Coturnix japonica: one gene and its partner. The protein of the gene in region 1 purifies or fractionates together with the protein of each later gene. This does not show direct contact. Links are inferred from orthologs where the notes say so. Each region holds a gene or a part of one and is shown in the gene's direction. Other genes may lie near its edges.

Evidence for each region.
Region 2: the proteins of FOXJ1 (region 1) and RFX3 purify together in Homo sapiens (affinity purification with mass spectrometry; 3 studies listed by BioGRID and IntAct, counting the BioPlex papers as one, with this or other methods). This does not show direct contact. The link is inferred for Coturnix japonica from reciprocal best matches to the Homo sapiens genes FOXJ1 and RFX3.

Annotation. Positions count from the first base shown.
Region 1 is NC_029533.1:3,906,740-3,923,961, forward strand, and holds FOXJ1 (forkhead box protein J1), read left to right. Parts: upstream 1-2,460; 5' UTR 2,461-2,722; intron 2,723-3,085; exon of another isoform or gene 3,086-3,223; intron 3,224-3,326; 5' UTR 3,327-3,362; coding exon 3,363-3,878; intron 3,879-6,313; coding exon 6,314-7,117; 3' UTR 7,118-8,047; downstream 8,048-17,222. Other genes in the region: E3 ubiquitin ligase RNF157, read left to right, coding at 773-813; EXOC7 (exocyst complex component 7), read left to right, coding at 13,463-13,522, 13,732-13,797, 14,543-14,727, 14,857-14,962, 15,362-15,584, 17,066-17,222. UniProt on the Homo sapiens protein: Transcription factor specifically required for the formation of motile cilia. Acts by activating transcription of genes that mediate assembly of motile cilia, such as CFAP157.
Region 2 is NC_029547.1:24,260,827-24,277,185, reverse strand, and holds the end of RFX3 (transcription factor RFX3), read left to right. Parts: intron 1-2,174; coding exon 2,175-2,272; intron 2,273-2,572; coding exon 2,573-2,722; intron 2,723-4,803; coding exon 4,804-5,012; intron 5,013-5,999; coding exon 6,000-6,153; intron 6,154-8,022; coding exon 8,023-8,065; intron 8,066-8,861; coding exon 8,862-9,100; 3' UTR 9,101-10,945; downstream 10,946-16,359. UniProt on the Homo sapiens protein: Transcription factor required for ciliogenesis and islet cell differentiation during endocrine pancreas development. Essential for the differentiation of nodal monocilia and left-right asymmetry specification during embryogenesis.

The DNA of each region.
Region 1 (17,222 bases):
CTGAGGGCTTAGGATGCAGTGTTTGAGCAAAACCCACTGAGCTGTGTCCCTAGTAGGGTTCCCTGGGGCAGAGCATCCTCAGGCTGCAGCCTCTGCTGGGATGAGGCACAGTGGGTATGGGTGGGTGGCTGTGACCCCACACCCTGCTCCTGGCATTGTCCCTTGGGAACCTTTCCAGGAGGCCCCGCATTGGTACAGAGGCACCAGAGTGACTTATTCAGTATGGAGCCCTTAATGCGATGGCTGCATGTGCCTGTGTGTGTGGTCTTTAATTACCTTCCAGGATCTGCAGCCTTGCCTCATTCTTCAGCTCCAGCCATTGAGAATCACAGCCGTCACCTCCCATATCAGCACTCAGTGGGGACGTGGTTATTCCCTCTGACAAAGCCTCAGTGCTCTCCCTTTAGCCTCAGGCTGCCCCCACACAGCCCCTGGGACTCAGAACTGCCTTGGGTGTGGGGCTGAACCTCACCATGATGTGCTTTGTGGGTGCCCCCCCCTCCAGCAGCACCAACGCTGCCCATTGTGGTGTAGGTGGTGGTGAGCACATCCCAAGCTCTGCCTATCCATGAGCAGAGGGGCTCCATCGTCCTCAGCACGAAGCCCTGGGATCACCATCTGTAACACCTGCAGTGCCTGTCAGCAGTGCCTCCTTATCCCACACCATCCCATAGGGGAGCAGCCCTATTGCCAGCCCCTCGTGCTCCTGCGTGCTGCGATGCTGTGCCTCTCACACTCACCGTGTACCTTCTGGTCTCTCCCTGCCATATAGCTGCAGTTCCGGACTCCTGCCCCATTGACATTGAGGAATAGGTATGAGAGCTGGCGGTACCCACGCGCCCCGGGTGACATCCCTTAGTGGGATGAGGGAGCAGGGGAGATGTTTGGGTTGTTAAAACCCAACCAGGCTGCACAGTGCCTCCCCCTTTGCCCTATTCCATGTCAGGGAACCCACATCTCACCCTACAAAGAGGCCACCTCATGGTGCTAAAAGGGAAACCCCTATCTGATGCAATATTCCAGCATGGGAACAAAGATTTGGGGTTTCCAACTACACTGCCCACATTGGCAGCACCGTGTCCCCCAGCACAGAGGGTCTCCACTCCCCTGGGGGTGTTGGGGTGCAGCTCCAGGTGATCAGCCTCTAACCCCCTGTTTTCTCTCCCAGGCCCAGAGGCAGCCAACACCAATGTGTGGCTCTGTGCTCCCCCCGGCACCAGCCACCCGGAGCAGGCAGCAGCCATGGGAGCACTGCCCATGGGTGGGCTCAGCCTGGGGGACATGCAGCCCCCTGCCATACACAGAGAGTCCCAGGCACTGCCACCTCCACCTCCGGCCATTGGAATGATGGTAACCTCGAATTTTCCCCCCTGTCCCCCACTGCAGGACGGCCGGGTGTCACCTCCAAACCCCTCCATCAGCACCTTCCCTTTTACACACCAAGGTTGGGCTGGGGTCCTTCCTCCTGCCCTATGTGGGGTCTCGGGGTATTGGCCAGAGGGGAACGATGGCACAGAAGTGCCCACAGTTGTGTGTGAAGGATCAGTGTCAGCATTGGCAGCCAAGGTTCACTCTGGTGACCGTGGTGGGAGGCTGGACCCCCCCGGGATGCTGACACGTCCCCATGCCGTGCCATGGGATGCCCCCACCGGTGGTGATGGAGCTCTCCCCCATCCCCTCTCTCCTCCTGGGGCAGCGTGTGGGTTCCCATAGGGTGGCTTTGTGTGCAGGGATGGGGCCATCACCAGCTGAACTTCACTGTCTTCCACCACACTACGAGCTCGGGGCTGTGCCCTCTGCCTGGAACAAGTGCCAAAGTGTCACCCAGTCACCCAGCCCAATCTTAACATCACACTGAGAAGCAGGGGTGGACAAAGGGGATGGGAGCTGCAACCCCCCCCCTCCATCCCCATCTCCTGCAGCCAGTGCTGGGCTGCACACATGGGTTAGGGGTCCAGAGAGGTGCAGGGATGCAGCCATACAACTCTGGGGACCTCAGCATCCCAACACATGTGACTTATGGGGGGGTTGCAGGCAGCCATTGCTCCGGAGGGTCCTGGCAGGTGAGCAGTGGGCTTTCCTGGCTGCACACCCCCCCCCCCCATTCTCCCTCCGCCCCCCATCAGGGATATTGAAGAGAGAACAAACACCCAGATCGCTGCTTCCGACTCTGCTTCCAGCATGTGATGGGGTCCAAGAGTACTGTTAATAAAGGTTTATCTTACGTCCATCACAGTGTCCGCAGTCGCTGTATGAAGGCGGGCGGCGTCTCAGGGCTCAGTGTACGACCCCAAACCGGCACCTTTCCCCTCTGCTTTATCCCAGAGCCCGGCTGGGATGGAGATGTTTGATACCAATGGGGCGCCCTAAGCCCACCCCCCATAACAGCCACTAACAGCTCTTCTCCGTGGCAACGATACAACCAACCAGAAGACTCGAAGCTGTTTATAGGGCGGAGCGTCACCGCGGCAACGAGGGAAGCCTCGCGGAGCCGCTACTTAATGGCGGGCGCTGCGCTGCCGGCAAATCACGGCGGCGGGGCGGGCAGCGCCGGGGGCACGAGTCGACCCTAAGGGGGAATAGAGGAGCCCCCCCCAATCAACCTGCCCTACGGACCGGGCCCGGGGTTGTTTGGGTTTGGTTCTGTTCCTGGTTGCCGTTTCCAGAAGCTTCCTGCTCTGCCGTCAACTTTGGGAGCCGGGGGGGACGTCGTTGGGACGGGGTAAGGGGGGTGATGGGGTGTGAGTGGGGGGCGGGGATGGAGCTATGGGGCGGTCACAGTGGGGGGGTGAAGGTGGCATCGGCCATCGGGGCCGCGCGGTTGGCGCACGGAGCGGGGGGCATTCATTGCTGTTTCATGCGCAAGCCCCTCCTGGCTGCAGGAGCTGGGGGGCTCTCTGTGCTGAGCCCACTATTGGGGGGGGGGGTTTGCTCCTTTTTAGGCAGCAGGGCAAAGGGTTTAGTGCCCCTCCCTCCCCCTCCCTTCCCCCCCCCCCCCCCCCCCTTTGGACCCCCCGACTGTTGGGGGGCATCATTTGAATGGTGGAACCCCCAGCCCAACGGCTGCTGCCCATGGGCTGCCAGTGCCCAGGCCGGCTCAGGGGCCGCCCCATCCCCGGGTGACACCGGGTGGCGTTGGGTGACGGCTCCATGGCCACGCTGGGGGCTGAACATCAACCCAGCAAGGATGTCTGAAGCCTGAGCCCGTCCGCTCGCTCTCAGGGTGGGTTCAGGTTCTTAGCGGTTGTTTGGGGGGTTTAGGCTGCCGAGAGCAGCTGCACCTCGGGGAACCTGACCCCCTTATCCCCCCCCTTATGTCACTGCAGGAGCGTCCCGTCCCCTCCCGGCGCTGCTCCCCGTGGATGCTGGAGCCGCAGCAGAGCCCAGGGATGGCTGAGGGCTGGCTGAGCCTGCGGGCAGCAGAGGGGCAGCAGGGCGGCATGGGGGACTCGAGCAACCTGGACGACAGCCTGACCAGCCTGCAATGGCTGCAGGAATTCTCCATCATCAACGCCAACGTGGGCAAATCCTCCTCGTGCCCCAGCGGCCCCGATCCTCACGATTGCCATCACATCCCCGGCTTTGCCGCTCCGTGTTCCCCCCTGGCTGCTGACCCAGCATGTATGGGGATGCCCCACACCCCCGGCAAGCCCACCTCCTCCTCCACCTCGAGGTCAGCACACCTGGGTTTGCACACACAGCCACCTGAGGACATCGACTACAAGACCAACCCGCACGTCAAGCCGCCCTACTCCTACGCCACCCTCATCTGCATGGCAATGGAAGCCAGCAAGAAGACCAAAATCACCCTCTCTGCCATCTACAAATGGATTACTGATAACTTCTGCTACTTCCGACACGCCGACCCCACCTGGCAGGTGGGTGCTTTGGGGTCTGAGGGTTTGGGATGTGGGGGGAAGGGGATTGGTCCCTGTGGGGTTTGTGGTTTGCACAGGGATGGAGGTACTGATGGGAGAGGGAGGGAGAATGAAGTGGCTTTGGGACAGGGATTGTGTGTGCAGGGATGGCAGAGGGAAGGAGCCATTACAGGGGAGAGCCCAGGGCCATTTTAGGAGCGGGGAGGTGCGTGCTCGGTTCTGGTATGTGGATGTCTCTGTCCCCAGCTCCACCTTTCTGCAGCCCCCATATGGAGCTCAGTGTGTGTGAAACCCCCAAATCAAGGGGAGGGATGGGGAGGGCTCACGGGGTGATGCTGCACGTTGGATAAATCCCAACTTGAGGAAGCTCGGAGCAGAAACACTGCAGCTCTGCAAACAGGGTGGAGGGGAGGCTCTTGGAGAGGCCAAGGAGACCCCATTGCTGTGATGAGATGTGAGGCCCCAGAGGCTGGGCTGTCCCATATCTCAAATGAACCCATCCCCAGAGGTAGGGGACAGCCCTCAGCAGCTCCAAACCTGGGGTTTTTCCCAGTCCCCTCCATGCAATGTCACTGTGAGGCTTTCAGGATGGGGAGAACCTCCAAGGATCCCAATTAATTCCCACACCCAATTTACAGCACTGGGCAGCACAAAGACACTGCAGACCCCCCAGGCTGCCCTCATCTCCAGCAGCTCCCAAAGCCCATCCTGGGGCAGGGAACCCCTTTATCCTCCAGGATTGCACCTGCCCCCCCAGATCCTCCCTGCACTGCTCTGTGCTAAGGGCCACCCCATATTGCAGCACAGCTTTGGCAGATGGGAACATTGGGGCACTGTGCATCGCTGGTGGGGGTCTTTTATTGATGGGGGGTGGGAGCAGCACTGTGCCAGCATGTTGACTTTGCCCTGCAAGCTCCTGGCTGGCTAATCACCATGGTTTTAATTAAATGTGTTTATTAAAAAAAAAGAAAGAAAGAAGGGTTTTCAATCCCTCCCCACAGACACGCAGGGGGGGTGGCAGGATTGTGGCAGGGAGGAATGATAAATATGTCCATGTAACGAGGGCTGAATGAGATGTGGGATGGGGAGGGGAGATGGGGAGCCCAGAATTCAACCCACAAAGCTCTGACCCTCATAAAATGTCATTAAATGGTCAGCTTGGAATCGCTGCAGCCTGGAATGTTGGTGGGGATGTCTGTGATTCCCCTTTTCTCTCCCTTTTTCTTCTTCCTTTCTCTTTGTTTTCATTTTTTTCCTTCTTTCTCTTCCTTTCTTCCCCCCCCACTCCCTTTTTTATCCTCTTTTTCCCTTTCTTTCTCTTTATCCCCCCCCTTCTCTTTTTTTCCCTCTTTCCCCCTACTCCCCCCCCACCTTTTTTTCTTTCCAAGCCCATTTTCTCCTCCCCTACCCCAACTCCCCTATGAACACACAGCCTCTAAAGGTCATCCCACCCGTCCTCGGGGGGGAGATGGATCTATTCCTGTGGGAGCTGAGTGCTTTGGAGGGGAGCCAGCGCGCCCAAGGAGCTCTAGCCCAGCTCTGGGTTTTGTTGTGTGTGTGCCTATGTGTGTGTGTGTGTGTTTTTCAACAGCTCTGAGCATTCAAGCCTTGTTTTTCCTACTCGGCACTACGGATTATGGATGAATAAGCATAAAGATATCCAGGCAACATTAAAGGAAAAAAGGGGGAAAAAAAAGCTCTCTACCATATCCAATCTCTTAATACGGGCTTGGCTTTGTGGAGCCCAACGCTGTGTTATTTACCCGATAACTGAGTTTCCTTTCTGATTATTCACATCACTCGAGGCACATTCAGGGCTTCAGAACAGCTCAACAGGAGCAGAAACTCCTCTTTTTCTTTTTTCTTTCCAGCTACTTTGTGCTGTGGCTGATGAAGATGTGGTGAATTCACACATCCTGGGCCAGGAGGCACCCGTAGGGGCAGATAGCCCAGGATGGCTTTGCCCACCTCCCCTTGCCCCTAACAATTGGCACAAATGACCTTTGGGGGTACAGGGACGGGTGATGCCAACCCCATGGTGCTGCCCTGTTTTGGCCATGGGGACATTGGAGTGAGTCCCACCTCACCCTCTATGCAGAACTGGAGCTCCTCCAGTGGGTCTGGCCTGTTTCTCCCAATTCTCAAGCCCTGTGGCCCCACTTTACATCCAAGGAGAGTTTCCCAAGTGTTTCCTGATGGCTGGCAGGTCCTATCTCAAACCCTTGTCTCCTGCTGCTTCTTGGCTGGCTGTGAGGAAGGGAAATGACACACTGGAAACCCAAAGAGGGAAGTTCCTGTTGGGCACATGGACTAGATGTCATAACAGTGCCATTTCTGCCTTATTTACCCCCAGGATCCCAGCTGATGACCTTATACCCATACAGGTAAGTGCAGAAGGCAACGCTCAACCTCTCTCTTTTCTCTTTTGGGTTTAGAACTCCATCCGGCACAACCTCTCCTTGAACAAGTGCTTCATTAAAGTGCCCCGTGAGAAGGATGAACCAGGGAAAGGCGGCTTTTGGAAGATAGACCCTCAATACGCCGACCGGCTGATGAACGGGGCCTTCAAGAAGCGGAGGATGCCCCCGGTGCAGATCCACCCAGCCTTCACCAACAGGGCCCAGCACCAAGCAAGTGGTATGACTGGACCAGTGCCTTCCAGCTGTGCCAATGGCAACGTCCTCAACGTCAACACAGAGTCCCAGCAGCTGTTGAAAGAGTTTGAAGAGGTCACTGGTGAGCAGAGCTGGGATGGGAAGAGCGGCCGCAAGCGCAAGCAGCCCTTACCTAAACGCACAGCCAAGGCAGCCCGGCTGCTCAACACAGCCCTGCTCACCCAGGAGGAGCAGACAGAGCTGGGCTCACTGAAGGGCAACTTCGACTGGGAGGTCGTCTTCGACACCAACCTCAATGGAGATTTCGCCACGTTTGAGGAGCTGGAGCTCACACCACCCATCAGCCCCATTGGGCGTGATGTTGACCTGACAGGCCACGGGTACCATGACAGTGCACAGGAGTGGTGCGTGGCTGGGCCCGAGCAGCCCCTCTCCGAGCCCAACCCCAACAACCTGGACTTTGATGAGACCTTCATGGCCACCTCCTTCCTGCAGCATCCCTGGGATGAAGATGGCAGTGAGTACCTGTCCGGCTCCGTCAGCATGGAGCAGCTGTTTGAGCTGGGTGACACCTCGCTGCCCGCGGACATCGATGAATGGAGCGCTGTGGGATCCTTTCTATAAGCAAAGGAGCGAACCAAACCCACGGGGGCTATGGGAGGATGCTCCCTTTCTGCTGCTGGAACTTGCAATGGACAATATTTTCTATGGACAGACTCCTGCAGCAGCTTGATCAGCTTCGTGGTTATTCATAGACACACCAATGGGGAGAACACAGCAACACAAAAATTGCTTGAAATACCTTCAAAGGACACACCAGAAGTCTGAGGTCCACGAGTTTCCTCGAGAGAAGAGGTAGAACAGTACTTATTTTTTTACTTTTTAAGGAACAAAATGTAAATTACCATTTCTTTTCCCTTGCATGGAAATGGACACGGCATTCAGGCCTGCTCTGCAGACCCAACAGACAAGATTCCTGGTGGCTTCGGACTCCATAGACTACGTGCAATCTTCTCACTCCTTCTTCTTCTTTCTCTTATTCTTTCTCTTTCTGTCCGGGTTCGTTTGTAGGTGTAGCTAATTAGTTAGCAGGCAAACAGAGTCCCCTCTGGATTCTCCAAGTTCAACCTCCCTCCTGACTTGTGTGCCTGGGGAAGAAGGAAAGATCCGTAAATTCAGTCTGCCTCTTTAGATGTTTTTATATAATCTATTATATATTATATATTCAAAGAAACCTCTATTTTTTAGCATTAGGACTTTTCTTTTCAGAGTGGGATAGGGGAAATGTAGCTTGGGGGGTTGTTTTGTACTTGGGCTTATGGTAGTCGTCCTGCAAACCGAAACCTGCACAGTGGCTTTGATCAGCATTGGGTCACCCAACTCCATGTCAACGTCACCACTGTTCCTGTAGCCAAACTGTGCCGAAACTCGACCCAAAGCCCTTGGATTCCTCTGCTCCTCGTCCCCCACGGGGGGTTTTGGGTGATGTAGCTGCTGAGTAGGAGTAAGGAAAAGCTGTAGTATCAGTGCTGTGTGTCTTAGACTCACCAAAAAGAAAGAAATGGGAGAAATGTAAAGACTTTCTTCTTTGGTTGCAGAAGCACTTAGGATTGTTGTTGTGAGTTACATAGCAGGAGTACAGCTGTAGCACTAGACTCAATAAACCAGCCTTGAAAAATAAAACCAGAAACAGCCTTGGTGTGATTTGCAATGGGTAATGGGGGGGTGGAGCGGGCACCAAGGCTCCCTGATACCCCACAGCTTCAGTGGGGCTGGGCCAGGAGCTGAAGCCTGCTGAGATGCCACCACGCAGCCAGGGGGCTGGTGGAGATGTATGTAGTTGTCTGGGTGATGCTCCTTTTCATCTGTTGTTTTAATCTTTTCCTGGGCTGCAGTGAACGAATGCAAAGTGATGAGTGCAATTCTAACCTTTCTCATGGAGAGTTATTTACAAATTAAAAAGGAAAAGAAAAAATAGGTTAAAAAAAAAGCCTTTTGATTCCTTGTTTCCCTGCAGCACTGCCTGGCTGTATCTGAGCCTCTCCTGCATGGGGCTGAGTATCACCATCCCAGTCCTGCTCTCCACCTCTAAGTGGGCTCAGCAATTCCCCATAGGGAAACTGAGGCACAGACCTCATGCACGGCACCACTTTCACATCAGGGGGTCCTGCTGGCTTGGGGACACTGGGAGCTGCTCCCAAGCCCTGGAGCCTCTTTCTCTGCTCCTGGGGGGTGGTTGTCCCTGTCTTGCCCTGTAGGAACACGAGCGGGTTGTGAGCCCTCGTGGGTGTGGGGTGGTGAGAGGAGCTGCACAGCTCTGCAGGAATAGACCAACCCTCGTGGGGCCAATTACACTGAGGAGCAGCTCAGGCTCTGCAAGAGCAGCAAAGCAAAGCAGCGGCTGCAAAGCAAGTGGTGGGGGGGTCTGTGTGCTTGGGGAGCCATACACGGAGCTATATGTGGGGGTGGATGGACTGGGGGGACCCATACCTGTATAGTGGGATGGTGGGGAGAGGGAGGGGATTCTGCTCAATTCTGAGCACCTCTAGACCCTCCCTCACCTGCACCAGGGCATCCCAGCCCCTGTGCCTTAAGGACTGGGTGGGCACTGCAGCAGCAGCAGGTGCTCACAGTCACAGCTGCTCTCAATCTGGGCAATCTCAGCCCAAAAGAGAAGGGCTGGGCTCAGCTTGATGCTGGAGGTGGTTCTGCTTGGTGCTGGGAGGGTAGGGGGGCTCCCAGAGGTAGGGACTGGGTCTCCTTTTGGCCTGGGTAAGTATGAAATCCTAAAGGAGAAATGAGGGGCTGGGGGTGGTCAGGGGTTGGAATGGGCTGGGGGGGTGGTGGAGTGTGAATGTGGGGGTGTTAAAGAGATGTGAGGATGTAGCACTGAAGGACATGGGTCAGCAATAGGATTTAGTTGTGTTGATGGTTGGGAAGATGGGATCACATAGGCTGGAAATAAACCTTCCACGATTCAGCGGTTGGAAATCTTAACAGTGTATCTCCTCCTGTCCCGTTCCCTGTTGTCAGCACGTGGGCTCTGCTCTCTTATTTCTCCATTTTAAGGGCGTTATTAGCAGGGCTGGGAAAAGCCAGCAGCCCCTCGCTGCTCCTATGCTTCACTGCTTCTTTTGCTGGCAAAAAGCCCACATTTCTGCTTCACCCCCTGCAAAAAGCAGCACCCCGGGCACCCACCCCTGCACAGGCGCTGCCAGCAGCCAGCATTGCTGCCAGCCAAGGGGAACAAAACAAGGGTGAGCAATAAAGGAGGCACCAGGCAAGGCCCCAAAACAACCCCGTTTTGTTTGGTTCCTGAAAGCAGACCTGCCTGGGCCTGCCATGCGGATGGGAAGCATCCTGCTCCCTCCTCTGCCCCAATAACCTTTGGCTTGTTAAACCCGCGGCCATAACGCCTCTATCAGTGGTTTCTCTTCTACCCCCTCCACCCCTCATCCATCATCCACCCAACACCTCAACCCCAATCTCTGCTTTGCAAAGAGAGGGGGGTAAATATAACACACAGCCCCTTCTTGTCTCTGCTTTTCTTGTGTCTTTCTTTCTCCTCCATTGAGCTCAAGGCTGGCAAGGAGCCATGCTGGCAACAGCCGGCTTTCACTTGCTAATCATCCCAAATATTGAAAATCTTACGGCTAGAATAAACAGCCCCGAGATTGGGGCCATCTCTGAGCCGGGTGGAAATGCAAATCCCATCGCCTTTTGTTTCCTGCTCTGGGTTCGGGTCCTTCCCTGCCCCCAAATTGGGTTTTATTCATGTTTTCTTTTTACTTTTTCCTCCCTCTTGGAGGGGTAAAATCAAAACAAACGGGCCTGTTTTAGGATCCCAGGCTGGGATGGGTTGGAGCCGTGTGGGGAGAAGGGGGAGGTAAGGATGGAGGAGGGCAGGGGATGGACTCGCATTGCATAGCAATGAGAGAACCTCCAAAGTTTGGGAAAACAAATGGGTTCCCATATGTGCCCTTAGGGGTTTAGGTGGGTGAGGGCTCGCAGGACACTGTGGCAATGGGGTGGGGATGGTATGGGGCAGGTTGGAGGATGCAGGGGGTGGTAGTACCAGGGGGGTGGCGTTGGGGGGGTTCCTGTGGTCCTGATTTGGGACCCAAATGTATGGAGCTGTCAGAGCAAAGCCAGCAGGGGCAGAATGATGGGAAAGCTGTGTTAGGTCCCTGATGGGGACCCACCTCTCCTGCACCCCCCCAGCACAGCACAGCTCCCTGCCTTGTTCCATGCCCTGGGATGCTCTTGGGCTCAATGGGTCATTGCCAGCAGCCGTTCCCCACGGCAGGGCCGGCACAATGGGGCAGGCTGCAGCTTGCCCAGCACTCCCCAGACCGCAGGCAATGGTCCCTGCGTCACCGCTGTCACAAGGAGACGTGGGGCGTGTGGCCCTTCCTGCTCCTCCAAGCATGCCCAGGGTGGGTGTGGAGGAGGGGGGGGGTCCTTTGGGTGCATGGGCTTAATGTGGGGTGGTGGGTCCCATGGGATGCTCCTGTCCCGTGGGATGCTCCTGTCCCATGCATGGGGTTGGGGGCACTGGCTTTACGAGTTAACCCAGGAATCACAAAGAATTTGGCCTGGCGTGATGCTGGTGGGAGGTGTGCCAGCCTGGCAGCCTGCAGGAGCCGTGGCTCTGCTCCCAAACAGCACCCGGTTTCTTTGGCTGGCAGTTGCCATCTGCATGGGGAGCCCCCCTATTCAGAGGGGGTGGGATGCTGGGGTGCAGGGTGGTGGCTGCTGGGCTGTAGGTGTGGATTTCCAGGCAGGGAATGAGGAGAACAGCATAGGGATGCCATGCTCTGTCTCACTGGCTTTTGGTTAGGAGACACATTAACAGGCAGGAATGTGCAAACAGCCAAAGGTCGGGGTAAGGCGGCTGCATAGCCCATGAGAGTGCAGTGAGTGGAGGCAGAACCCTACAAGGGCAATGTAAGAGGATCCCTGGGCACGGGGCTCTGCAGACCCTATTGATTGCTGTGCTCTCCTCCTGCCAGGTGGCTCTTAGGGCTCACAGAGCACATTCCAGCTGAGGGGGTGGCTCTGGCTGCTGCCCCACACCTCCTCCTCAGCCCCATGGTGTGTGGAGCTGCTGACCCACACAGCAAACACCCCCCGCCTTCCCCAGAAACGTGGCGTAGGGAGAAAATGAGCATCGTCCCCATCCTGGCCCCAGAGCATGAAATACGGCACCATCAGCCCGTGCCAGGACTGATGCTCACGGTGTGCACTGCCCCAAACCTGGCCCAGAACCTCCTTTTCTCCTTAGACTGGGAACTGAAGGGCTTGGGTACGTGAGAGGGGACACTGCGGTGGTCCCTGCCATGTGCACCCCATCCCCATCCACAACGGCAGCACTAAGTAAACAGTGCCAGGGGATCCTCGTTAATCCTGATCATTCATTTACAAAAAGCCATTTAGAGCCGGCTATGTGGGCAGCTATCAGAGCACTGGGGAAGGTTTCCCAGCAGGACCTTAATTCCCTCTGCAAATAAAGCCGGAGGGAGGGAGAGCACAGCTTGTGTCTGTGCTGGGCTAGTGGATGGGGTTGTGGGGGGGACTTATGGGGCCAACCCTTAGGGACTGATCCCAACCACCTTACAATGAGCCAAGGGCCGAGCTCTGCTGCTTCATCTTCACCTTTGCTCCTTGGCAGTATTTGGGAGCCCAGCACCCCAAACCTCCCATTGCTGAGCAAGGGGGCTGCGATGCCATTTGAATGCTGCATCCAAACAGCACGGAGCCATCAGGTTCTGATCAGATCCCAACCTGCAGCTTTAGAGCAGCGCAGCAGCTTTGCTCGGTGCCAAATGGACTCAGCAGCCCCAACCAAAGCACGGTGCCAACTCGGCCGTTGGTGACACCCTCCCATGGAGCAAAAGGAGCAGCATTCCTCCATGCACTGCTGACTCACTGCCTTTCATCCTCCGCAGGCGGCAGCTTCGGCGCGGAAAGAGATTGTTGGCGGGGTGGGAAGGCGGCAGCAGCAGGCGGGATGGGATATAAACTGTGTTATTGCCTTTCAAGATGCAAAGGGTGGCTGAGGGGAGCAGCAGGGCCGTGTCACAGTGCTCATATCTCTGCCTGTGTGGTGCCACTTTGGGGCTGTGGGGTGGGAATACATTGCCCTTCATGCTGGTCGGCACACAGCTGTGTGATAAGGTGGATCATAAAACCCACCTGTTGTTGAATAGAGACCCATTGGGCTGCCTCAGCCTCACCAAGCACAGGGTGGGCTGATAAGGGGAAGATAGATGGGGACACAGGTCCAGCCCCTATAGCAGGAGGTTGGGGTGCTTGGTTTATGGCACACACAGCAGGTCTGACAGCAGCAGAGGGTGCTGGGTCACACTGGGGCATTCCCTGTCGTGCATCCCCTTCCTGCAATGGGTGCATTTCCTAGCAGCACACAATAGCAGCGCACACTGAGCTGCTGCATTTCCTCCTTCTATGGGCAGCCCCTGTATGAGCCCAGTGCAGTGACAGAGCACAGGGGGGTGGGATGTGCTCTGTGATGCCATACAGTAAGTAGAGCAGGACTGGGCCCAGCCATGGACCCAACCCTCCTGCAGGACCACTGGTCTCCTTCCAGGTGCCCGCCCTGGAGCCGCTGGGACCCCCTCGTGTCTTTCAGTGCATTGGGGTCACTCTGCACATCCATCCCGGCAGATAAAGGGTGCCATATTAGGACACACCACGCCCCTCCCAAGATGGCGGCGCAGCCTGTACGCCACACCCAAGGTGGCGACCAACAATGCGCATGCGCGTTACTCCCCCAATCCTCTTTCCGGTTCCTCTATGCCGGAAGCCATTCTCTAGATAGCGCTTTGGCTTTCTGCGCATGCGCAACGTGCCTTGCCGCACCCAAAATGGCGGCGCGGTGGTGGCCGGCCGGAAGTGAGTTGTGGTAGCGGGGTTTGTGTGTGGAGCGCGGCCCTGGCGCCCCGCAGCACCATGATCCCAACAGAGGAGATGTCGGCCCGCAGGAGGGAGATCGAGGACAAGCTGAAGCAGGTGGGGCTGGGCTGGGGTCAGTGCTTGGAGGTGGGGTTGGGCCTGCGGCTATCAGGGGCCTGTTATGTCTCCTCAGGGTTCATGGGTGTCTGTGTGCGGCCTACCCTGTGCTCGGTCTCCCAGCTGTGGGTGTGTGACCCTCGTTTGGTGTATAGTGAGTTCAATGCTCGATGGTCTGAAGTGAAAACTGCTTTTTATCGTGACTGCAGGAAGAAGAAACGCTGTCCTTTATCAAAGAGAGCCTTGAGAAGAGCGACCAGCTCACAAAGAACATGGTGAGGAGCTCCTGGAGGTGCAGCCTTAATGTTGGGTCAGGGGCTGTTCATCCTTAGGTAGACTCATGTTTAAGGGTGGTGTTGTACTTGTCTGAGCAATACAGAGTAATAAATCACTTGCTTTTACACCCCACAGGCTGGTTTCCAACCCATACTTTCCCTCCTTGGGAGGTGTGGGTGCAAAGCAAAGGCTTCATGTCCTTACAGTCTGTCCTTTCTCTTCTTGAAAGAGCTGCGTTTTGACCCAGGAGGGATGATGTGAAGTCACCCTCTGTGGGCTTATTTTCCACAGTTCAGAAGTGACAGACCCTTTTAAAAGCCAAATACTTGCAATGTAAAAGGACATTAATGCCACAATGTGCCTTTGTGTTGTCTCTGTTTTACATCTTAGTATTATGGAGCAAAGTGGCTGCCAGGTTGTTTTTATTGATCTCTTTTATCTAAGGCACCTCCAGGCATTTCCAGTGGCTTTGTTTCTTGCTATCAAGTCAAGTTTTGCTCTCCCTTAGTGCTGTTTTGCATGCTTTACAAATGTAAGGATGGTCTATCTTTGACAGCAGGTGACCTGTATTGTAATTATTCATTATTCATTAGGACATAGAAAGTTTAAACAGCCTGCCTTAAGGGGCCATGGAACAGAAGTGGGGCCTGAAGGTGCCTAATTGCCCTATTCTAGCTACTAACCCGTAGTGTGAATTCATGTGGAGGGATGTCCTCAACTCTTTTTTTCTCTCTTGACATGTAGGTTTCTATCCTTTCCTCCTTTGAAAGTCGTTTGATGAAGCTGGAGAACTCGATCATCCCTGTCCATAAACAGACAGAGAATCTACAGCGCTTGCAGGAGAACGTGGAAAAAACCTTGTCCTGCTTGGATCATGTCATTAGTTACTACCATGTGGCAAAGGACACAGAGAAGATCATAAAGGAAGGGTGAGTTTGGTAGCTAGGTCTTGCTGGGGTGCTTCATCCTGTCAGTTCTTGGGGCAGAGGTAGGCGCTGACTCCACACACTTTGTCTTTTTCTTCTTCTGATCCTTTTTATTTTTGCTTTTATTTTTAGCCCCACTGGGAGGCTGGAGGAGTACTTGAATTGCATGGACAAAATCCAGAAAGCAGTGGAATACTTCCAGGACAACAATCCAGACAGCCCGGAGCTGAACCGTGTGGTAGGTCGCAGGTCTGGAAGCTTGCATGGGTAAGATAGGAACAGCCATAACCCTGCCACTTACCCTCTGTGGGCAGTGAGAGGCTGGTGGGCTTGCTGCCTGATAAAGAATGTGTTTGGGCACAGCTGAAGAAATGATTGCTTTGGTTTCTGTCCTAGCCCGACAGCAATTTTGCTTGGTGATATTTTGTTCTTTTCATGCTTTATATACTGAGCAACTCCCAGGCAATTCCATATGTAACTAAGTCATTAAAAGTCTCTTAGCTACAGGCACTGGAGTTTGAAGCATGCAGTACTTGACAGTGATTAGAAACGCTGCAGAAAGTGCAATCTCATGCAGAAAGACTTGTGAGTGACTGATTACAACAACCCTGTTCTGTCCTCTGCTGGTTTGTGCCAGAAATCCCTCTTTGAGAGGGGAAAAGAGTCCTTGGAATCAGAGTTCCGCAGCTTGATGACGCGACACACCAAGCCTGTCCCACCCATCCTCATCCTGGACCTGATCAGTGGAGATGATGAAATGGACACACAGGAGGAGATGGCACTAGAACACCTCCCAGAGAGCGTCCTGCACGACGTCATCCGTATCTCTGGCTGGCTGGTGGAAAATGGCAGGAATCAAGGTGGGCAGAGCTGCGTGGTGTTCCCTTGTAGTTTTGTATTGAGTCAGTGCTCTCCACTGGTCATCACCTGAGGGCCTGAGGGCAGGGTGTTGGAGCTGCAATCCTCTAGTGCTCAGATATCACAAATGTGCAAGGAACTATGACTTTCTCCCTCTTGTGAATGATTAATGAGCAAACCGTTTTTAATTAAACGTGACCAAAGAGGGCTATAAAAGCAGCACAAAAATATTTTCTTCAGTCAATATATCTCCTTTCTGTTTTGCAGCATCAGAGTTTACCTGCATCCTTATATTCTATTACTGACTTTTCCTTTGGTTTGGAATGACTTAGTGGACCTGTTACAGGAAGGCTGTTCTTTCACATACATGCAGCTACTAGAGCTACCCCCACTGCAATGATTTAATTCTGAGTGGGGATTACTGTGCCAAGCAAGTGTGACAAACAGCCTTAAAAGCTGCTTAAGAATTTTTCCATGATGAAAGGAAGTAACTGAAGTATATATGGCTCATTCTCATTAGTCAGTTTATATTCTGCTTTCAGACAGTGAACCCCCCCCCCCCCATTTAATCTCTGTGGGCTGTGAAACTTGAGAATTATTTGAGGTTTTTCATGCTGGCAATAGAGTGCTTGAATTGATTTCATAGTGTCTTGCACAAACATCTCCCATCAGTTCCAAAACTGATGCACTCTTGGTTGTGGCATGCAGTTACTCTTGGGTGTGGTGGGAGAGTCTGAGTGAATACAGCAGAAAATAGATTTTTTCCAGCTTTTGTCTATCAGCAGGACAGCAGCTGAGCCTGAAGCGTGGGCAGGTGGTTTGCATGCTGGAGTCAAATGCAAGAGACTCTTGAGGAGTGGGTTCTAAGGGACCTGGGCTGGAGAGGAGGCAGGTTTAAGGTGTGGTGGTGACATGGAGAAGGAAAGGGGACGGAGATGGAGGAAGAGTAAACAGGATGGAAAGGGAGAGCACTCTACTGAATGTGGGGTTAATTGGCTTGTCCTCTTAAGTGTACCTCTGCAAGAAAGGTCTGGAAGTGATGTGGTTGGGACTGGTTTGAGAGATGTGATGGAACACTCTGTGGCTTCTTGGTTGTAAAGTCAACCTTAGAGCTGTGTCGGGACAAGAAGGCTTCCCTGTGGGAATGGAGGATTCGCAGGGATTGCCTGTGTTCCATTCAGGTTTTACCATCTCTGAGTTATCTGTCTGTTTCAGCTTCTCCATTATGAGATAGAGAGACAACTGCCTCCTCTATACTGTTGTTGCTTTTGCTATTGAGTCTATTTATATTTTAGTTTCTGGATTTAGAGTTGTTGGATTTGATATTCTAGGAGGGGAAAAGCCCTTATTTAGTTTCCCACATTAATGCCATTAAAGTCCCTTTCAGGCTACGGTGTTTCAGCAGCAATTTTTTTCTCTTCTTTTTTTTGTCACATAGTGTTTCCTGATTGCTTATAATCCTCCTTATTCTTTGTCTCCTTAGATTTCATGACAGTGTACTTTCAAATCCGTTCTGTCCAGCTCGACCGCTCCATCAAGGGGCTGAAAGACCACTTCCGTAAGAACAGCTCTTCTACAGGGGTCCCGTATTCCCCTGCCATTCAGAACAAAAGGAAGGACACTCCCACCAAAAAGCCAAT
Region 2 (16,359 bases), on another chromosome or scaffold:
AGGTTTGCAGAATAATTGATAGGACTGAAGAGCCTGTTCTCTATGTGAAAGCTTCAAGGGAAAACAGACAAACACTTAAGTGCTGGAATAGGCTCCCTGGGGAGGTGGTTGAGTCACCATCTCTGGATGTGTTTAAACCTGTTTGGATGTGGTGCTCAGGGACATGATTTAGCTGAGGGCTGTTAATTAGGGTACTATGGTTAGGTTGTGATTGGACTTGATCTTTAAGGTCTTTCCAACCTGAGCAATTCTGTGATACTGCAATTCTAAACACATATTACCATAGAATACTTACCTTATTGAGATACTTTGTAACACCAAATTATGTTCAACTAAGCATCCAAATCTGTGGTCATTTGTGTAAGTTACTAATAGAATTTCTATGTGCTACTAGTATAAATTCAAAGAAATTTGAAAAAGATCTAATGAATTACTTATTTTTAGTGAACTGATCTTCTAGTAATAGTTTCCCTAAATAAAAGGATTATCAATAATTCAAGCAGTAAAAAAGAGTATTTCTCAAAGATAAATTCTTTCAGCCTTAGTCTACCAGAAGGTATTCTGCCCTATAAACAGAACCTTGGCTTTAGTTTACAGTCTTTTCTCACATGTAGCTGAAATAATTTGGAAGTAAGTGTAGTTTCCTTTTTTCTAGTGTTCTTACTCTTCATTTTTGCAGCTGCAGTGATTCTCCCTTCATTTTTAGAAAACTGCAGTTTTTATTTTTGTCTCCTTTCCCAACTATTTCGGTGGACACTATTAGGTCTGTGAGCAAGTGGTAAGTATTAGAAAGCAAGATTTTTACTACTCAAGAGATAAGGTTTTTTGTGTTTGTTTGTTTGTTTTTTTTCCTTTTGCAGTTCCTTATGGAAAAATTTTGTTTCCTCCTTCTTTAATAACTGCATAGGTTGATCTGAAAGTAGTGCATCCTGATTATTTTTCATGGAAACTTCAACAGCACAGTAACACTAGTTGGTAGAGAAAATTTTAAGCTATCAGAAATGTTTTCAACATAGTCATCACCATTAGCTGTACATTTTCACCAGCGTTGAACAAGAGCCTGTATGTTGCACTCATAAATGCATGACTGGAACATGGCTTGTCTTTCACATCACTGTCAGCACTGCTGCAGTGTACCACCCACCACCTCATGTTGCTCACGTCCACTGCTTGACATCCAAAAATGATCAGTAATTATCAGTGAGTGTCAATGGGTATAATTTTTACACATGAATTCAGAGGCACACCTTTACTTCATCCACACTTCCATATCAGACTACGTTTTGTCAAACTGCCCCTCTGCTGCCATCTACAACACAACCAGAACATGTAATAGATTGTTGATGTGAATGTTCAGCCTCTACTTTCATATCACCAATGTCTACCACTGATGTCATCAGCCAACATTATAAAGTCAAAGGCATTACTTCCAGAGTAACCCTCAAAACCCCTTTTGACTGCACTACTGATTCCTGCAAAAGCTTCAGTTTCTCCCAAAATCCTTGTCATCCATCCAATCAGTTCTATGGGTGCTATAGTGAAGGAAATAAATAAATAAATAAATAAATAAATAAATAAATAAATAAATGAAAGAAAAAACACAGGAAGATTTTACAGCTGTTTGAATGATTAAACTTTCTGTCAGTGGAATATATTCTTATATTTTGCTTGTTGATTATATCCTTAAGTACTACTTACCGGATTTTGTTCCAGTGGAAATAAGCAGTATCATGACAGTAGTTCACACTTCTTCAGGTCTATTTGAGGAAGCTGCAGTTTTCCAATAATAGGAATTTTTCAGAGACTTGCTCTTTAAAAAGAGGTACTTAACTGAAGTAGAACACCAAAAATTTGTGATAGGAATTTTAAGTGTATAGGAAACAACTGCTGCAATTAAAGATGTTCTTATGCAGTAATGCCCAAAGCAATACTGTTTGTCATCAGCTTCCTGACAGATTAGGTGAGGAAGTTCAAACTGTTCATTAAAAGAAAACTAAATCCATTATTGCATAATCTGAATCTGAATTAGGCATTTTGAACCCTAGTTTGTTTCATCTTCCAGTAAGTAAAAGTGGTGGATCCAAACTATTGAGCACAAAGGTACTGAAGATGCGAAACATTTCCAAACAGGTACTTTGCTTTCTTTTCATTGTTTCTTCTTCTTCAATGTGCAGGTGCCTTGACCCAAGCCATTCGCAATTTTGCAAAAAGCCTTGAAGGTTGGCTTTCAAATGCCATGAACAATATTCCACAGAGGATGATACAAACCAAGGTAGACAAAACTATTGTGGCTTAATTCTTGCAATGATGAGCCTAGTGTGCAGTAGTATATAAAAGCAGTAGTATTTTAACTTGAATGCTAAATTTCATGTTTAGCATCACATCAAATAATGAGAAACAATTCTGTTTTGTCAAAAGATTAAAAGGAAAATGCTTTTGACCTGTTACATGAATATAATTCACATATTATGGGCCATTAATGTAGAATATTAAAATGAATGTAAACAATCAAAGGTGTATTATTCTACAGATAGAGAGTACAAGATTTTAAAAGAAATTAATTTCTTCATAGGTTGCCGCTGTAAGTGCCTTTGCCCAGACTCTGCGAAGATACACATCTCTAAACCACCTGGCTCAAGCAGCTCGTGCTGTTCTTCAAAACACTTCTCAAATCAACCAGATGCTCAATGATCTTAACCGTGTTGATTTTGCCAATGTTCAGGTAAAATTTAGCTTTAAGTAACAGACTTTGAAAAATAATCCAAACATTCTGAACTTTTTGCATTTGCTGTCATTATTCTTTCAGGAAAAAAGCACAATAATGTTTTGAGGATTCGCTCAAATCTACTTTAGGAAAGTAAGAACTTGGAGCCATTTTCCATTTCCAAGTGCTTATTTATTTCAAGTACTCATATGTTTCCAGATTCTCTGAAAACATAAGAGCCTGTGCATTCTTTGAATGGTTATATCACAAATAATGTCTTATTAATAGCATCAGTGATATTGCACATTTAGGTCACAGAAAGGAACACAACTCCTGAATGTCTCTGAAAGCAATTAAATGTACAACATTGTTTTTAGTAGAGACTGTTTCATTCATTCAAATACAATTAAATTAGTATGCTTTATCCAAGTATCTTTGCTTATGTGTATGAGTCATTATTGGATTAATAAAGGTTAGAACTGGTTTCTAGTTAGCCTTCAAAAAGGGTTTCTCACATGATTCTACACCATTGCTGAAGTGTTGTTTTCCTTTTGCCCAACAAAGTAAAATATTCTGGATGACTGGCAGTTCTGTGTCAGAGTCTTTTTTTGAGGAGATAATTTTACATATAAAAATCAGTTTGCTAGTGACAGTTTTATTCTTTATGCTTTTTTCACGTACTTTTTAATAAATATATTTTAATATATGTAGTTATATTATGCAACAATATGTAAATTATAAATGGTGGCATTAGAATTAAAATAGCTTGTTTAGAAGGATCAAGTCATGCTGACTGCTTCAGGACTAACTAAAAGTTAAGGTGTATTTTTTAAGGCATTGTCCAAATGCCTCTTGAACACTGACATGCAGAGTGTATCAGCCACCTCTCCAGGAAGACTGTTCCAGTGTTTAGACCACATCTCGTGGCATAGCTTTTTTCCATCCATTCTCACACTGATAACCAGTGAGTAGAGCCCAGTACGTTTCGCAGTACTTTTCGTCCTCAAGGAGCTGCAAGGAGCACTGATGTCCTTTCAGCCTCCTTTTCTCCAGGCTGGGCATCCTGAATGTCCTTAGTCTCTCCTCATAGGAAAATGCCCTCCAGTCCTGTTACCAGCTGTGTTGCCCCTTGCACACATTCAAGTATCTTAATATTCACTGACCACCTGTTTATTTCCCATTACTGGGAGGACTGCAGAAAACAGTATCTGTGGTTCTGAATCCTTAAGATGTCTTACAAGAACCTTCAAATCTCTTCCAATTTACCTCAGACTACTTCTTGGAACATCGCTGGTACCAACATGAAAGAACAGGAGTGGGTAGTGTACTCGACCAAAGATGCAAAATGTTGATTATGCTCATATGTTAATGTAGACACAGCCTGCTAATCTTGAGGTGTTAACATGGCACAAGATAGCTAAAGTTTAAGGGCATGTCTTGAATGTGTCTCCATGTTATCTCTTAGTTTTTGAAGTGTCCTACTAAATTAATTTAATCTTGATATTGCTGATTAAATTGTTCATTGTTATATGCAAGCATGTTTCTCCATTTCTTTGCAGTTAAGTTTGTACTTTCGTGTAACATACAGTCAGCAAATAAAGCAATTCTTGTTTATATGCAAAACTTTCTTTTATAAGATGGTATAACTAAAATTGTCTTTTTCATGCCCAGAGGAACCTTGCACTTCATTTCTTGTTTGTTCTTTTATTATTTTAGACCCCCACTTAACTGGTATTTCTGATTGGCATGCCAGCAGTCCCAGCAAAAACTGACAATTCCCATATATTTCAGTAGAAAAATTATCAACAAAGAAAGTAAGAGATATCTTCTGAAAACAAATGGGGCAAACTAAAACATGCTTGTGTCATTTCCATTGTTCTTCTTATTTCTGAATTTGACATTTAAGTGTTGTGTTTTTCCCACCCACTTTCTTTGAACAAAATTGTGACAGACATAAAAACAAGAACTGCTTTTTAGTTTGTCCTACAAGCATTTTTTGCCCTTTTTCTCCACAGAATTTTTTAACCTTTAAGAATGAATTGTGTTCTGTGTTTTGGTTTATGTGCTGTTACTTCAAGGGCTGCTATTTGCTTTAACAGGAGCAGGCTTCCTGGGTGTGCCAGTGTGATGACAACATGGTTCAGAGGCTAGAAACAGATTTCAAAATGACTCTTCAACAGCAAAGCACTCTGGAGCAGTGGGCTGCCTGGCTTGATAATGTAATGATGCAAGCATTGAAACCATATGAAGGAAGACCCAGCTTTCCTAAAGCAGCACGGCAATTTCTGTTAAAATGGTCTTTCTACAGGTAGTATTTATACTTATAAAACATTTTAACTGTTCTGTTATTTGCTGAATTGTTCACTGTAGTGAACTTGACTGATGCAACATCAAACTGTGAGTCATCAAGTCACCAAAAGTATGTGGGTGGGTTTTTTTTCCAGAAAATTACTGTTAACATCAAACTCAGGGACACTTGGAACTTGGCAGGGACTTAACCAATACTCTTGCTGTTTGGAAGGCCATATGAATGCGGGTAGAATTTTGTCATGAATTAGAAACACAACTTGGGATCATTGGGTTGAATAACCGTACAATCCAGTGTTTTTAATTTTATTTTTTAAAACACTGTAATATCTGTGATCATTAGGTAAGGTAAACTTTTTTTACAGAATATAAAGTGGATTAAAGCAAGCTAACATTCCCTACCAGCTGTTTATTGGATCAATTGTGAGTGTAAAGCTGGCTCTTTGAAAATGATTATGTCAGCTACTTGCTAAAGATACCAGAATTTGTCAATCTAATACATACACAGACATCTTTTTCTAATCTAGTTTGAACTTTGAGTTATTAGAATCATGGTAATCAAAACCTTTCTACTGGGAAGTGGGCTCAACAGAATTTATTTAAACATTAGTTTATCTAAAATGAAAGTTTGAGTATAGTTTTTGTTTGTGTTTTTAGCAGTTTTCCTTCAGGTTAGGTTTTACATATTCACAAATCTTGGTGGTTATGAAGATAGGAAAGCAAAGGAAAATGGAAGACAAACAAAAAAACAACAACAACAACTAAAAAGCACAGTTATTTCTTGGTGGCCTGCAACACCTTCTGCAAAAAATGAGAAGCAAATAATCGCTTTTCCTTAACTCCTCTTTCCAAAGGCACCATTAGTCAGACACTGTGGATAATGCTGTTTTTAGGAATATTGGTTTTGAGATGAAATGTCTATATGGATAAGCATTTGTGTGACAATGACATATAACACAGTGTTGTTTTTCTTTCCATTTTTGAGTAGCTCAATGGTGATTCGAGATCTAACCTTGCGCAGTGCTGCTAGCTTTGGCTCTTTTCATCTGATCCGCTTGCTTTATGATGAATACATGTTTTACTTAGTAGAACATCGTGTTGCTCAGGCCACAGGAGAGACACCTATTGCAGTTATGGGAGAGGTAAGATAATATGTGAGAGACTAGATTTGATAGATTTAACGATGAATTTGCGTACATACCTTTGCAAATTTTGTAAACTTTCATGTGTATTTGTAGGATGTTGTACAGTTTAAGAATGATGAACTATCTTTGTACTTGACTGTGGCATCTGCAAGGCGAGGTTTATTTCATCCCTCTTTTCTCCAGTACTTCATCTAACCTTTTGAGTGAAATACTGAAGAATGCATACACTTTCATTATAGAATTGTACTTCCAAAGTGATGGAAAATGGATACATTTGAAAATGCAGTAGATGTTTAAAGGCACAGCTTTATTACATTTTCACATTTGGGAGTCACTGCGTGATGTTTGTTACAGATAACTTGGAAGTTACTTTGCATGTTGATTTGACATCAGGTTTTGTTGTTCCTTCAAGATACACTAACGGTATCATTAAATACTGTAAATTGGTAGCAGACTTTCAAGAGAAATTGGACATGTCTCACTATATTTGTCAAATGATTTCCTACCATGTGGCATGAGGTTTTAGACAAATTAAATTACAGTGTTTCCACTTAGTGACCCACTAATAGCATATATCCTTTGTCTGCCCTACATATGCAGTAAGATACTCAAAATCATACAGTTACTTCATTCTTGCCTTCTTAATACACATCTTATGTTTGTGCATCAGTTTTTAGGTGCTGTGTAGTTGTTTATTTGATGTAAACTGAAGGTGGAGATATTATTCGAAAAAAATAACAAAACTTTTGGAGGTGGGAGATACACAAGAGAAGGTGCAAATGGTCATTACAAGCTCAGCTACAAGATCTGCTTTAGTGGTTTGCTGTAGTTACGGTAATGGGAGGATGGTTGGACTAGATGATCTTTCCAACCTTGTGATTCTATGATGCTATGATTTTATGATTAAATGTATGCTTGTTAATGAATTTCTGTATTCAATGACTGTGACAGAAATAATAAGAGGAAACCTAAGACCACAGTTTGACAAACATTGCAGGACAGTGTAAGCTAGTGTTGCAGCTGAGATTAGCATGTTCATTTTCCTGCCTTCCTCTTCGCCCAGCTTTGGGCACAGGTGTTAGCAAAAGTACTGCCAAGTATTGCAGTTAACTGGATCAGATTTATTCAAATAAAAAGCTGTGAACAAATAATAGCTGTGTGAACACTTTGCACAAAGCCAAAGTAGCATAAGGATAAGTGTGAGGACATGAAATGATGGTATTGCTGCTCATTGCATTACTGTTCCTTAAGTAACTTTTATTTTACTCTTTTTCTGAAAAAGGCTGGTATCATTACTTATTGTCAGAACTGTATAACTGAAGTAAAATTCTCCTTTGAGATTCATTGATGACATTCTACTCTGCTAATTTCATTTAAGAGAGAGGATTCAGGAAACGAAAGGAAGGAATGTTACACATCTAGAATATGAACATTTTTGCAAATATATCTTTTTAATACAAGTAAACTGGTTACCAGTTTGTAAACTTTTCCTCAGAAATGCATTTCATCTGCCTTCCAGGTAAATCTGCAATGTTATAGCTGCATTTAGAGATATACCTTCATTTTTCTTCTGGATTCTCTGAGAAATTCTAGAAAGACCTTTTGGATAAAATATTGATAGTTCAAAATGTCTGTCACATTTTCTGACTTACTCAACACAGAAGTAGCTCACTTCTTAGTGATAACTGTCTTACTAAATACAAGATGGAATGGAAAATGAATTGATGCATGATGGATGTGGCTGCAGCTTAGGTCATGTGTTTGCATGCCAGCCTCAAACCAGTGGAGCACAGTCTGTCTCCATCACAGACACTACATAACTATTTGCATACACTGTGCTCAGTTTTTTCACTGTTTGTTTTTCAGTTTGGTGATTTAAATGCTGTGTCCCCTGGAAATATGGATAAAGGTAAGTGTTTTAATCTTTCTAGTATATAAATCAGTGTAGAACTAATGTGTCTCTGAGCAAAGTAAGTAGAATTTAGAGCTGTATCATGCTATAAAATTCATATGTTTGTTTTGTGTATACATTGATTTGCAGCATATAATAATTACTAGAACATCATAGGTATGTTTGCTAACAACAATTTATTTTAAAGATATTTAGCATTTACACAGGAAATATTCCCATTTGAGCCTGGAATTTGTGTCTGGTAGTACGAAGAAGAGGGAACAGCTGTGGGAAGAAAGACAAGAGTAGTCTTATGTATCTTTATCACTGCTAAATGAAGATGTTGGAGTTGCATGCAGTTGCTAAATAGCATGCCAGAGAAGATGGTAGGATGAAATAAGGTCCTTATGAGCTCTTCACGCCATATTTTGACATAGATTTTACACTGACAGAGTGTATAATTTCATGTCACGTCTCAACCTCTTTTCACTCATTTCCCCATCTGTAGCAATTCTTCAAAAGGTTTATCAGGTCTTAAAGACAAAAAGGATTTTGCAGTAGGAAGTTATTGTTGCTTGTTAGATACTGTTTTTCAGATTAGTAATTGCTTTTCCTTTTTATTTTATCAATAGTATGTAACTGGTGTGATCAAAACAATGAGAGTCTATTAATCTATTTGATATAATCATTAGCTTTTTCCATTAAAGTTTTAAGTTTTCAGTTTGTGCTTTATCAGATTGCTAGTCATCCCAATAACTTTGTATTTCAAATATTATTTGCAAAATAAAGGGATTTTTTTTCCCCCTTTCTGCAGATGAAGGCAGCGAAGTTGAAAGTGAAATAGATGAAGAAATGGATGAAAATGGAGAGCCGCAAGCAAAGAGAGAGAAAACAGAGCTAAACCAAGCATTTCAGGTGGGCTGCATGCAGCCAGTGCTTGAGAGTGGAGTACAGCAGAACCTCCTAAACCCAATTCATAATGAGCACATCGTTGCAACTACTCAGACTATCAGACAGTGCAGTGCTACTGGAAATACATATACTGCAGTCTAATGTGAAACTTCCCCTCTCCCCCCATCATTACATTAGCCCTTTGGGTTTATTAGGAAAAAAGAAATAAAAGAGAAAAAAGGTCTGAAAATCGACTGTTGTCAAATTTCAGCTGTACTGAACATTATTTTATTGGAGTCATGAAATGGTATGAGTGTAAGCATTTTGCCAGGCCTGTTCAAGAAAAGATTTTTTTTTTTGTAAACAGGATCATTTTACCTTGGCCACTCAATGTGAAGAGTTTTCTTATAATCAAATGCAAGAAAGATTTTTGCAAAGCTTGATGTTAATGTTTTTGTCCTCTTAATAATAATTTAATTTTTTTCATAGTTTTTTAAAAATATTTTAATGTTCATTATTGGTTATAGTGATGATTTCATATACGTAGGTTTTTAAATAGATGCACTTCTGTGAAATATCAAAAGAACTATTTTCTTTGATTTACACTGGAGGCATACTTATTTGACAACAGATGTATCAAGTTTGTTATAAAAGGTGCTTTTCCGTGGACAACTAAAAGACACTATTTTGATAAAATTGTGAGTATTCAGGGGGATTTTTTGTAATATTGTTGAAGAGTTGAGAAGATATACCAGTTTCTTTCTGTGAGAAAGAAGCAAGTTTAAATGGCGGAATTGTAACAATGTGATAATGTGTACGTAACAAACGTACCTAATCTTGTGTACGTAACAAACGTACCTAATCTGACCATCATATTAAGAATGCAAGGTTCATTAAAAATCAACAGTTCCAGATATTATTTGCATACCAGTTCCTCTGTTTTGAAGACTACTGATACTAAACGTGGTGCCGCTGAACAGGTGCTTTTGGCTGTTGAGTGGTACTATAGTTGTTAGAAGCTGAAGCTGAAAAAGAAGTGACTTAATTATTACTGTTAATTTTTAAGTGTACGTGCTACTTAAGCTGGACTGGACATACAGGAAAATATTCCATTTGGATGACTTTCTTCTATTCCAGGTCTTTTCATATTAGTGGTTCAATCTGCTGCTCTTAGAAAAGATAATTTATAGAATGCAAGGAATGTAGCAACCTGCATCATTTTCCTTTCAAAAATATTTCTTTGTTGTTACAGTGGATTTAAATTTTTACAAAAAATTAGGTAAGGCAGTGTAACTGGCACACCTCACTTTTACTTATTCCCAGTTGTGTAGAATTTGAATAGGTGGCTAGATGGACCATTGCCATTTAAGAATGTACATCAGGGATCATTGTACCTCGGCTATTACATGGTGCCTTAAACAGAACTGAAGCTAAGACTTAGTACTTTTTGTTATTCTTAACTCTTAAATTAATTCAACAAGGTGTGCCTGTCATTTTCAAATTCCCTAAGTAAGGACAGGTTACATAGCCTTCAAAATAATGAAATGATTTTTTATTATTAAATGATTTTAATATCCCTCTTAGAATGACAATAAACCTATTTTTTCTCGTTTCTAGCTGGATTTCACTTTATTACAAATAAAAGTTGCTTGGGAATCTGGAAGGCAAAACTAGCTTTAATACCACATTCAGATGTCAAGATAGATTGACCATAGTCCCAAGCATGATTATATATATTTTTAGACCCATGTCTACTTCTAATTTTGAAAAGTAAAAATGAATAAATGAGCAGGTACATAATGCAGTGCATGTTTTCAATTTGTATGTTTTGTGGGGTATCAGCCTGATTTTACATTTTAACAGCTCGATCTCATATTGACAGTTTATATAGCATACATTAATTGCAATTTTTATTCCTAAACATTTCATTATGCAGACACATGAATTTGTTACATTAAGTAGGGAATCGAATAATCAAAAAAAAAAAAAAAGTCAAGAAGTGAAAGAGCACAAAAAAATGAACTTTATACAAACGACTGGGTAAAAAAATTAGGGTTTTTTTTATTTTGGCTTACCTACGGTGTCTGTAAAATGACTTTAATGTAATATATACCAAATCGGAGAAGAATAGCGAAAGAAACGGTGTATTTATAGCAAAGGAGTTAGATGCTATGGATTACATGTGCCCCAAATACAGCTACATATCAACTAAAACATCCTAACTTGTTTGGTGCGCAAAATTAAACTTAAGTCCTTTAAAGAGTGGGGAGGTGAACCCATCCTGCATAAATCCTACTTGATGTCAGCGATTTCACCTCAGTAAAAAGTGAACGTGAGGTTTATATTCATTACTTCTACACTCATAAATGCACTGAATCTCATAGATTTTGCTCTCACATACATTGCTCAGTGTGTCCTGATTTTTCCTTGGAAATCAGCAAAGCTGTACCCTTCACCAAAAATCCTAAAACTAAGCTGTGATAAATACTTATTCCCTTCATTGTGCATTATAAGATGTTTACAATTAAAATAAAGTGAAATAAGTCTTTTTTTTCTTTTTTCTTTCATTTTAAACTTCTTTAATACTGTAGTACTTCTTTCAGTTTTGTGTTGGCAAACCCGATAGCGTTCTCTTATTGTGTTACAGATTTTAGTGTTGTATTTGTTGTTGCTGAGAAAAGAGAATGATTGTAATAGGTAAATTTAGATTGCTGAAAGATGTGGGACCTGAGAATCTTTAATTTCCCACTCCCATCCAGTTGTTCACTGTTCACAAAGTGCAAAATAAAAAAAATGAAAAAAAAATTTAAAAAAAAAGAAAAAAAGAAGAAAAAAAAGAAAAAAAAAGAAAAAAGGAAAATTAGAAAAATTAATACAAAGATAGAATGTATTTCATAGCTTCTACAAAATGATGAGTTATCGAAACAAACTGGAACTATCCCAGATGGAGAAAATTAAACGGAGTCTGTATTCCTATGCTTATCAATTGATTACCTTTCGGAATTTTAACATGTTTTTGTTTTTCTCATCCTTCTTACAAGATTTTTAGAAGAACTAAGTTGCTGTAAGCTAGTTTGTATAGTTGCAGGTTTGGAGGTCTTGTGTTTTTACATTTAATGAAATCTTAAACACAGGAAAAACATTTTGCACACTTCTGCTATCTTTAATAGTTGTGTTTTTAGTAATGATTAAACTACAGAGATATGAATACCTCAGTCCAGAATCTATGATGCGCAGCACGTGGTTGCCACACCAGCTCTGAAGTCTGTTGTCAGTGCTCTGGAGAGGTTTAGCATTTGTCCACAGGGTAGACGTTATGAAGGCTAATAGTGGTTTATGTAGAATGGAATCCAAAATAATGATTTAAAGGCATTTTCCCTGTTAGCACAAATATCACAGTGAACAGTGTAGGGGAATGGGTATTGTTAAACTACCTTTTCAAAGCACAGGGCCCAATTTTCAAAAGTTATACATTTATGATGATTTGTTGGTACATTTCCATCTTTTTCATGGTAAATCAGTTTTGAAGCTTTTGTTTTTCTTTTCTGTTCTCAGTTATTATTTTTGTGTTTTGCTCATGTACTGTAGCATGCTATAAGCACCTTCTTTTAAAAGAGACTTCCCTAAAAAGCTGGAAAATAGATTTTAAATTATTTACCCATAGAATAATGATTTACAGAATCACAGCCTTTAGTTCAGAAATAACAAATAGGTAATGTTCTGGTGTACTGTCATTCAGGAATGTATAGGCATATATACAAATTTAATTTAAAGCGAGGTATTTTGAAATATCTAAAGCCTCTTTTTTCACCTTTTTTTTTTTTTCATAAGAGACATGATATCTTTCTGAATATCACTAATTGATATCTGCACTGTTTAGAAAACCTTTTAGATCTAGAGTCGCACTGGATTCAGTTCAGAATGGCTTTACAAAAAGAAAGTAATAATTTTAGCTATAAAAGTAGGGAAGGAAAATGAGATTTATCAGTAACGTAAGTATGACCTACAATGGTAATTCTGGAGTTTAAAACATTCGTTTGAGAGAACTGCGTGAATTTCTGAAAATTGGGCCCTTGTCTCTCTAACAGGACATCCTCTGTGTGTATGGTTTAAAATCAGTAAATGGAATTGTAGTATCTCTGATAATTTGTTTGGTGATTTAAGAGAAACAAACAAACAAAAAACTGGAATAGGAGCATAAACATGCAGTGCTTATTTCTAGTATTAGAGAATTAATTTAATGTAATGCCTTGCATTAACCCTTTGAGCATTGTAAGTCATATGATGGGAATAAAGCATTTTAGATCATTTATCATACACTTCAGAATAGCTGATTGATAGCATTGTAGTTTGTTGTTTTTTGGGTTTTTTTTTTAATAGTTCTAAAGTAAATACTTGCATACTATACAGGAATGGTTTTGTGATAGGTTCGATAGATTTAGCCAAATATTCACTGCCATTGATGTGTACTGTATAATGGAAAATAGTTCTTCATCTCCCTTGTTTTCATACATGCGGAAATACATGAGGAAAATCCAGTGTGTTTCTACAGACATGAAGTTGTCTAATATGATGCCTTTAGAAGATGAAGGTTTAGGAAAAAAAATATTTCTCCTTCTTTGAGAATCTCCTTAGGTAGGCTAGCATTGGAATATTCCAATATTGTAAAAGAGAATCATTAGGAATAAAAGAAGGCTTAGCAAAAAAGGAAAAAATTTACAGAATATTTGGTATGTTTACACTGCAGTTTTCTGACATCTTTTTCATAAATCAGAACACAATTAATTATACTCCTCCTAACATTCAGTCACTGCAATAATAACTAATGCTAAGATGAAGGTATTTTACTCAGCTTCATCTGCAGGGGTACAAGGGATGGCCCTTGTTGAATGTGAAAATTTTAACAGCAACCTAGAAACTGCACCAGCCTTTTAACATGTTAAAAAGCCCCTTAGTTCGTACAAGTACTGCTCATAAGAGCAAGGGGATGACTGTAGTAGCAAGTACAGATTCTTTGACATTAAAGAGAGAAATGCCACCTTACTAAGTGACAGTACTGTAAATTTTCTACTAGTTTCTTGCAGTATCAATCAGTCGGCAAACACTGAAGTGCAGCTGTACTTATTTAAGTCTATCTGAGGGCAAAAAACAAAAGGTCTCATTTTAAGTTATTTAATGCAATTACGTCATTAGTATAGTGCAAGTAAGCTGTAAACATTTTTAGTCAGTTATTGCAAATTCATGCATAATTAATTATCATAAATGCAATACTCAAAGGGTTTTAATTTAACAACTTTTTAATTCATAATTTAATGTAAATGCTTCTGAGTTTGCATGCCTTGATCATTGCTGCTAGTGATTTTATGTGCCGGTAGACCTGAGTTTAATTTACCAGTTTAACTTGAGAAATAGTAAAAGCCACTTACAAAGTGACTGCCTAGTGTTTGTTTTGGAAGTAAAATATGCCTTAGTTTGAATATGATCATGTTTTATTATTACTTTATTTTTTTCCTTTTCCTTTTTAAAAAATAAATTAACATTTTGGGATTGGAAGCCCTGAGTAGTTAAATATTTGGTAAGAATTGTTCTTGAAGATTTCTCACTAAGGGTAAAATTTGCAGTAGAAAATAAGGCCCAGAACAAGACTACTAGCATCAAATGAGCCTCACTTAAATCTAAATCGGGATCTTTCTATCCTTATGCGTTTTTCTTGATTTGGGTGCAAAAATCTTAACAAGAGTTTTCAGTTCTGGATGAATTTTACTCTGAAACAACAAATGTCTCTGTTAGAGGAGTTTAGGCTTTGGAGGGACAGACAACCTCACATGGATTGGTATTTAGCAGGAACTCACTTTGGTTCTTTTTGACTCGCTGATGTCACCAAGAGCTTTAAGGATACTAAAGGGTTCCCCAAATGAAGTCTTCTTCAATACAATATTAACATGTTTGCCTTGCATTGAAACATTATATCCATCTTAACGCAACCCAATTAAGCAATTAAAAGGATGCCAGAAATATATCACTTTGTACCAAAGCAAGTTGCCCATCTCCACTCATCATCACTCAAAATTTGGATTTACAGTTAATAACCAATGAGGCTGTTAAAGAAACTTTGAGTGCCTTTCAAAAACTTGGAAAATTGTGCCTGAGGTGGTAAACTTTAATTAGGTTAATTCTAGAGCTACCAATCAGTAATTTTGTCATCGCTCAGGGCTTTCTTACCTTCTAGGAAACTTCCATCGTTGCATTTATTTTATAGTGTATTTTTTTAAGTGCCATCATTTGAATTTCACTTAGTAAGTGGCAGATTACATTATTCAGTCCCACAGCACAGAAACATCATAACACTAGGATAGATTCAAACTTTTATTTTCCAGTTGACTGAATATATTATGTAAATGAGGTAAGCAACTTTTTGTAGATTGTATGTGTGAGATAATGTAATGTTCTTTTCCAGTTTTTGGACTACAGTTGAATATACTTTTTAATTATTTAAAGAAGACATCTTTACAGAATAACGTGATGGTTTTTTTGTATAATGTATTTGATTTTGTAAATACGTATTTCCTGATGTGATTTTTGTGAGAAATGCTAAATCTTTTAGTATATCATGTCCTCTCAAAACTGGCAGGAGCTAAATAATAGTTTGTGGGCAATTTGTATTGTGTACTGTACAATAACTGGGGAACTTTTATAATTATAAAAATATATATTAACTTTTAGTGTGTTGTTTAAAAAAATGACTGGAACATACTAAAGACAGTAGGATTTTTCTGAATATTTCAGACTTGAACTCAGGCTAGCTTTTTGTGTTTTTCAAAACAAAATTGTGTCTTGTCTTTTAAAATCAATAAATTTGTTTTCTTGTTACAAACATACCTGAATTGCTTCCATTTTTGTATAAACAACTATTTTGAATCCTGATGTCATTCGTTTTGAGGAAGAAGATTATTTGCACTTGTGGATTTTAAATAAGATTGCACATATTTAGAGCAACAGAAATAAGCACTGAGTGTGTCTCAGCCTCCCAGTGAACACAGCTAGTAAGATACTTAATAACTTAAATATCAACACTTCCCCCCATTACCGATTTTTTCAGTTCCACAAATCTTCACTAATGTTACCAGGTCGTGTTTCTCATGGGTCTCAAGCACCTGTTCCAGGTACTGTTGTATGTAAGGGGCACAGCACTACTCTAATGAGGAGGACCAACCACGTATTAGATGCTAAAATATCAAAATGATTACTGGATATCAATTTTAATACAGGTATTTCTCATGTAAATGTGGTAAAGATAGAAAAGTTTATTGGTCTCAAGAAGTTGAGCTGTAAGCTGTTGTCCAGACATGAGTATAATTTCATTACAGTACTGGTTCCTACAATGCATCCTAGCAAAGTGGGCTCCAAATTTTCAGCAATAT